Oryctolagus cuniculus: one gene and its partner. The protein of the gene in region 1 purifies or fractionates together with the protein of each later gene. This does not show direct contact. Links are inferred from orthologs where the notes say so. Each region holds a gene or a part of one and is shown in the gene's direction. Other genes may lie near its edges.

Region 1 (3,819 bases):
CAACAGTCGGTGTTTCCCAAGAGGGAAACCTTGTAACTACGCTGTGGTTGTTTCTGAGTTACTTCCTGGGGTTTGGGTTAGTGAGCATTTCATGTGTCTTCCGTAAGCTTAATTTCTATAGGTATAGTTGCTAAGCTGAAATAATTCTCCCCAGTGTTATAATTTACTTGCTGTTAACCACCAGTTTGAATAAACATAAGTATTTTCACATGCACGTATCCTTTTTTCTTATGCAGTGAGCTGCTGTTCAGTTCAAAGGATATCATATTAATACCTTGTCTGCACATTTTCAGTGCTCATCGCTCAGAGATCTAGAACTTGCTTACGAAATACATGGCCTTTTGAACACTGGAGATAACCGGAAATTCCTTGGACCCGATTATCGGCGTAATTTCTATTAGTAAGTGTATGAAATGTATCCCTGTGCTTTCATTAGTAGATTCTACTGTTGTGCCTGAGTGAGTGAGAGGAGCACCACACATGGATAAGATTTGATGGCTATGGAGAGCAAGCAGCTCATGCCCTAACTCTTGACCCTGAGGCTGAAAGCAACAGGGAGACAAAAACCACAGGAAGGGAGGGGGGAATATGTGGTTATAAGGGTCAAGTGGACCTAAGGCCCATATGAAACAAATAACCAATGTCAATTCTTACAATCTTAACATTAATCCAGGTGCAGCCTATCTGTTTTAAGCTTGAGCAATCATGCTAGGGAATTTCTTTGTTCTGCCAGGTGGATGAGTGTAGATCAAAGTTTCAGACCAGAGTTTAATGGTGGGGGATGCTTTCTTAAGATGGAGTCTGGGCCGGCGCTGCGGCTCACTAGGCTAATCCTCCGCCTTGCGGCGCCGGCACACCGGGTTCTAGTCCCGGTCAGAGCACCAGATTCTGTCCCGGTTGCCCTTCTTCCAGGCCAGCTCTCTGCTGTGGCCAGGGAGTGCAGTGGAGGATGGCCCAAGTACTTGGACCCTGCACCCCATGGGAGACCAGGATAAGTACTTGGCTCCTGTCATCGGATCAGCGTGGTGCACCAGCCGCGGTGGCCATTGGAGGGTGAACCAACGGCAAAAGGAAGACCTTTCTCTCTGTCTCTCTCACACTGTCCACTCTGCCTGTCAAAAAAAAAAAAAAAAAAAGATGGAGTCTGGGATGCTCTAAAGTGGAGCGCCTACACTCAAGCTGTTGCTTCACTACAAATGGGAGGGTGTTGGTGTAATCCACATTTCACCTCCAGTTTCAGAGAGCCGACCTGTGATTTAACAGTATGCGTTAATTGAGCATTCTGAAATTACAGCAGTGGTGAGATTGCCAGGTTTGAAAGTCTAGTATCTTTTTCCTCAGCCCTCTTAATATTTGATATTCTTAATTATAGGAGGATGTGTCTTTAAAGGCTTTGTTCCAAAACTGCTTGCTTTGGTAATGGTAAAGACACTGGAGCCCAGAGAGGCTCCTTAAAGTGGGCTTGCTTGTAGGAGGATAAAGCTTGAGCTTAAGGAGTTAGCTGCTCGTGGAAGTGTGAGAATTGTTTCTTCTATGTGAGAAAGTCCTTATTCACACTGAATGCTTTTAATGGGATATGTTCCGTGTCTGCTCACTGGGAGCGGATACTGCTGAGGAGGAAGCAGTCATAATGACTAGTTGATGTTCAAGTGGTATTCATTGTAAAGGTCAGTACCTGATCCCGTGTAGGCCATTGAACTTGATACTGTTTATAAATACTTGAAATTTTCTAACACATCGTCATATAACAGAATTTCAGTAATTATTTTCTTGTTGTTAGACATAGGGATTTTATTTTAAGCATACTTTTTCTCTCCACAGTTCCAAGTTTTTCAGTTTGCTTTGTCTAATGGAACAAATCGATGTCACCTTGAAGTGGTACAAGGACCTGATACCTTCTGTAAGATGATTTGTATATGTCACTTACCATTGTAGATGAACTTTTAACTTTCCTGATTGCTGCTTTAAAAAATAAATTTGTATTTCTCTCATCAGGTTTTCTTTCCCAGCTCTCAGACATTGATAGATCTTCTCCAAGCATTGGATGTGGCCAATCGACTAGAACTGATTCCTCAAATTTGGAAAGGTAAGTAATCAGCTTTGTGTCCAGGCCCATCTCAGTTCAGTGTCCTACCGTTTGATTATTGAACATGTTAACTTTGTTGGGGTGGAAGTTTCCATTTTAAAGTGGAATAGATTAGATCTGCTTCAGTTACTTGCTGATACTGGATAACATGAATAAAACTGAAATAAAAACTAAAGTCAGACCCTTCATGACATAGGAACTAGCTAAGTTCTGCACAGCTGTTATGTGACATGACCCAGAGAAAAACACGGTTAGCCTGAAGTCTGAATGACCTCAGAGCCTCTGTACGAGTGGTGTTTCACTTCGGTCCAGTTGCTAATGAAAGACCCTGATTACTGCATTTCTTAACTAGCAACCATGACTGTGATATGTGTGTTGGTCTGTTGTGTGTGGATGAATTGACTCAAAACTAGGTGATTCTATATTATCAGTCAGCTTTTGTTTCTATTAATCACCCTGCTTGTTTTCTGGAATCTTCGGATAAAGCTAGAATGGCTACCATCAGCAACGTTTTTTACCCACCAAAAACGTTAAGAATTACAGCTAACAGTGATCTGATGTCAGCTAGAAAGGGTATTGGTTTTACTTGATGGTGACGGCTCTCTCGCGTTCCTTTTTCATGTCAAGATAGTAAAGAATATGGTCACACTTTCCGCAAAGAACTGAGAGAAGAGATCTTGGAGCTCATGGCAAGAGATAAGCACCCACCAGAGGTAGGGCTGCAGTGTCACTGTTCTTGTTGATGTGTGCTAACAGTGTATCCTGTAACAGGGAGGCCCTTTTAAGGATAGTTTCCATGGTTTCTTCTATCATTATGGAGAGCTCTGCCATCCAAACCCAAGTGTACATTCTGGTGCACCTAAACGAACCTGCTGTCACTGTCACTGCTCCAGTCCAAGCAGGCAGCATGGAAACTGCTGCTCTGCTCTGACATGAATAGCAGCTTGCTTCTTAACACTTTCCATCTGAAAGGAAGGCGCATGGTTGAAGTTGAAAGGTGTGGGTAATCGAGTTGTTTATCCCACAAGAGAGTCTGCTTTGTCTTTCTGCTTGCTTACTTGTGTGGCATGTTACAATGGATTGCTCAGAATTTTATGGCCCTCTGGTAATCTCCTGAATGTAAATCCTCTCACAGCACTTAAGGCAGTTCTGCTGACTCTCAGAGACTCTCAGCTTCAGGTGGCGTTTGCTGATTGTGCCGCGGATATCAAATCCACGTATGAAAGCCAGGATGCCAGACAGACTGCTCCCAATTGGCCAGCCAGTCCTCTCAACTGTATAGCTATTCTGTATTTAAGGGCTGGAAGAACTCAGGAAGCCTGGTGAGTATACAGTGTACATTAGAAGCATCTGTGTTTGCATGTAAAACATATACCCAGGACAGTGAGAAGAGGTTCTCTAGTTTGGAGGGGAAGTTAGGTATATCAACAGCCATTCTCAAATGTATGAGGATTGTTTTATTTAATAAATTAAAGGTAGAGAGCAACAGAGAGGGAGAGAGCACTTTCATCTGCTGGTCACTCCCCAAGGAGCAGAACAGTCAACTCTGGGCCAGGCCAAAGCCAGGAGCAAGGAATTCTAAAAGGTCTTCTGAATGGGTGGCAGGGGCACAGGCCATCATCTGCGGCCTTCTCAGGCACATTAGCAGGAATCTAGATCGGAAGTGGAGCAGCTGGGACTTGAACCGGCATCCATATGGGATGACAGCCCTGTAGGCGGCAGCTTTACCCGCT
Region 2 (3,665 bases), on another chromosome or scaffold:
GGGTGTGAAGGGGAGCGGAGACCGCGGAGCATGCGCGAAGCCGGGAAGTGGCACAGAGCCGGGAAGCCGCTGCGGGGCAAGGTGCCAAGAAGCAGCCTCGGGGCGGGCGCCGGGATGCCGCAGGGATAAGAGAAATAGAAGTATAGAAGTAAAATGAGAGAAATAGGAATGCTGGCAGATAGAAGTAAAATAGGAGAAATAGGAATGCCTGGAGATAGAGAAATAGAAAGGCCTCCCCACAACACGGCAATGAGAGAGCTTGGATTCGGTCTGCCTGATTAGTAAGACGATAAGCACCTGTGAGCGGCTGCATGTCACCGAAGACAGGCACGTTATCAACACCAATAAGTCTCCCCACAAGACGGCGATGATAGGGCTTGGATTCGGTTTGCCTGATTGGTAGGGCTTGTAAGCACCTGCAGGCAGTTCTAGCAGAGCAGAGCATGCGCTGCAGGGCACCGAACACAGGCACGCATCAGCGCCTAAAAACCTCACAACATGGCGAAGAGAGGACCCGGATTCGGTTTGCCTGATTGATAGGACTTGTAAGAACCTGTGGGCAACTCCAGCAAGCAGAGCAGAGTGTGTGCCACGGGGCACCGAAGACAGGCGCGTATCAACGCCAAAAAATAAAAAGAAAGGGGGATCTGTGGGGAGCAACTCAGACTAGACTGTTACTGGAATTAAGACTTATTCTATGCATCTGCTCTCCCACAATATGGCGCTGGGAGAGGAGTAAACAGCTTCTACTCAGCTGCCTCCAGTTCAACCAATAAACAGCAGGACCTGCTCCTGATTGGAGGAGAGCAGCATACTCGGCGTGTGGGTAGCAGAGTTGGGATTGGTGGAAGAGGACTATAAAGGAGGAGAGAGACAACATGCACCAGGAACATCTAAGAGGAACACCTGTGCAGCCCCCGAGAGAGCCGGCTGGCGGTGTGCTGCTCCCCCGCGGAAGTGGGGAAAGTGGCAGGGGGAACCGCCCTTCCACGGAGGTGGGAGGGACGGTAGCCAACCTGGGAAGAACCAGCAGCAAACCCGGGGAGGGCCGAGCAGACAAAAGAACAGCGCAGGGTCTAGTGTCGTTCCTCCACGAAGACGGGGAGCGACATAATGGTGCCGTGACTCGGATATGAAGCCTAGGCAGGGTTTAGTGTCGTTCCTCCATGAAGAGGGGGAGCGACAGTAGGCTGAAACAGTAGTAGATTATTTAGAAATAGAATTAATGTTGTGTAGGATTATTAATAATGCTGATATTTTGATACTTAAAATGGAAGAGCACTAAAGATAAATCATTGTATGAGGCAACCTCAAAGTTCATGGAAAGTGGAATTTAAAGAGAAGTATCTGGGTACAAACATGTTTGAAATGCATGTTTTTAAAAATAATACACATAGTTCGATCGGTAGCGGGAGCGGAGAGCGGACCCCAGAGAGCCCTGAGCAGCCCCACCGCCACCGCCGGCCTAGTTACCATCACACCCCGGGAGGAGCCTCAGCTGCCGCAGCCGGCCCCAGTCACCATCACCGCAACTATGAGCAGCGAGGCCGAGACCCAGCAGCCGCCCGCCGCCCCCGCCCTCAGCGCCGTGGAAACCAAGCCCGGCACCACGGGCAGCGGCGCAGGGAGCGGTGGCCTGGGCAGCCTCACATTGGCGGCGCCCGCCGGCGGGGACAAGAAGGTCATCGCAACGAAGGTTTTGGGAACAGTAAAATGGTTCAATGTAAGAAACGGATATGGTTTCATCAACAGGAATGACACCAAGGAAGATGTATTTGTACACCAGACTGCCATAAAGAAGAATAACCCCAGGAAGTACCTTCGCAGTGTAGGAGATGGAGAGACTGTGGAGTTTGATGTTGTTGAAGGAGAAAAGGGTGCGGAGGCAGCAAATGTTACAGGTCCTGGTGGAGTTCCAGTGCAAGGCAGTAAATATGCAGCAGACCGTAACCATTATAGACGCTACCCATGTCGTAGGGGTCCTCCACGCAATTACCAGCAGAATTACCAGAATAGTGAGAGTGGGGAAAAGAATGAGGGATCGGAGAGCGCTCCCGAAGGCCAGGCCCAACAACGCCGGCCCTACCGCAGGCGAAGGTTCCCACCTTACTACATGCGGAGACCCTATGGGCGTCGACCACAGTATTCCAACCCTCCTGTGCAGGGAGAAGTGATGGAAGGTGCTGACAACCAGGGTGCAGGAGAACAAGGTAGACCAGTGAGACAGAATATGTATCGGGGTTATAGACCACGATTCCGCAGAGGTCCTCCTCGCCAAAGACAGCCTAGAGAGGACGGCAATGAAGAAGACAAGGAAAACCAAGGAGATGAGACCCAGGGTCAGCAGCCACCTCAGCGTTGGTACCGCCGCAACTTCAACTACTGACGCAGACGCCCAGATAACCCTAAACCACAAGATGGCAAAGAGACAAAAGCAGCCGATCCACCAGCTGAGAATTCGTCCGCTCCCGAGGCTGAGCAGGGCGGGGCTGAGTAAATGCCGGCTTAACATCTCTACCATCATCCGGTTTAGTCATCCAACAAGAAGAAATGAATATGAAATTCCAGCAATAAGAAATGAACAAAAGATTGGAGCTGAAGACCTTAAGTGCTTGCTTTTTGCCCATTGACCAGATTACTAGAACTATCTGCATTATCTATGCAGCATGGGGTTTTTATTATTTTTACCTAAAGATGTCTCTTTTTGGTAACGACAAACGTGTTTTTTAAAAAAGCCTGGTTTTTCTCAATACACCTTTAAAGGTTTTTAAATTGTTTCATATCTGGTCAAGTTGAGATTTTTAAGAACTTCATTTTTAATTTGTAATAAAAGTTTACAACTTGATTTTTTCAAAAAAGTCAACAAACTGCAAGCACCTGCTAATAAAGGTCTTAAATAAAAAAAAAATAATACACATTATCCATGAACTTTTTGAAGATCCTTTGTACAGAAGCACAGGGTGGTAGTTGAGGGTATGAGTTTGAACCCTTCCTCCCACTCTTGGTAGTGTGATGTTTGTGTCCTTGTTTCAGATTCCCCATTTGTAAAGTTGGAATGATGATAATACATATTTCATTGTGATGTCATGTGTAAGAATTGTGAATAGTAAGTGTATCATAATTATTAGGGATTAAAGAGTAACTTTTCCTCTAAGTTATGCTTGCTAATATGTCAGTTGGGCTATATTTTTCTGCTGCAGTTATTAAAAGGACTTGTGTAGAGCTTTTGTAGGATTTTGAAGAAGGAATAAAGATCCCTCGCAGAGACCTTGAACCTAGAATCAAGCTCACAGTGACCCGGTTTTTGTAGAGTTCTGAGGTCCACTAGTGAGTCAGGATCAACCTAGATTTATGAAATTGCAGCCATGGAGTGTGACACTACTCCCTAAGAACATTTATCTCTGTGTTGAACTTCATACTAGACTAGAATTAAATAGAATAGAAGTAAAATAATAGAGGACAGAAGTGGTTGGCCTTTGTAGGCTGTTATTGTGTATGAACTAAAGAGCGTGATTATTAGTGGTCATTGGATTTGGATAAGCCAGTCTGAGACCATGATACTAAATTTTTTTTTCAAAATAAAATATTTTGATAATTTTGATGTTTAATACATTTTACTCTTGCTTGCCACCGTACAGGCTGGAGGAAAGGTCTTGGGAATTTTG

What was found.
Region 2: the proteins of PTCD3 (region 1) and Y-box-binding protein 1 purify together in Homo sapiens (co-immunoprecipitation; 4 studies listed by BioGRID and IntAct, with this or other methods). This does not show direct contact. The link is inferred for Oryctolagus cuniculus from reciprocal best matches to the Homo sapiens genes PTCD3 and YBX1.

Annotation. Positions count from the first base shown.
Region 1 is NC_091433.1:116,615,371-116,619,189, reverse strand, and holds part of PTCD3 (small ribosomal subunit protein mS39), read left to right. Parts: intron 1-293; coding exon 294-400; intron 401-1,821; coding exon 1,822-1,900; intron 1,901-1,995; coding exon 1,996-2,086; intron 2,087-2,713; coding exon 2,714-2,799; intron 2,800-3,221; coding exon of another isoform or gene 3,222-3,259; coding exon 3,260-3,408; intron 3,409-3,819. UniProt on the Homo sapiens protein: Mitochondrial RNA-binding protein that has a role in mitochondrial translation.
Region 2 is NC_091434.1:59,356,746-59,360,410, reverse strand, and holds Y-box-binding protein 1, read left to right. Parts: upstream 1-1,357; 5' UTR 1,358-1,372; coding exon 1,373-2,386; 3' UTR 2,387-2,908; downstream 2,909-3,665. UniProt on the Homo sapiens protein: DNA- and RNA-binding protein involved in various processes, such as translational repression, RNA stabilization, mRNA splicing, DNA repair and transcription regulation.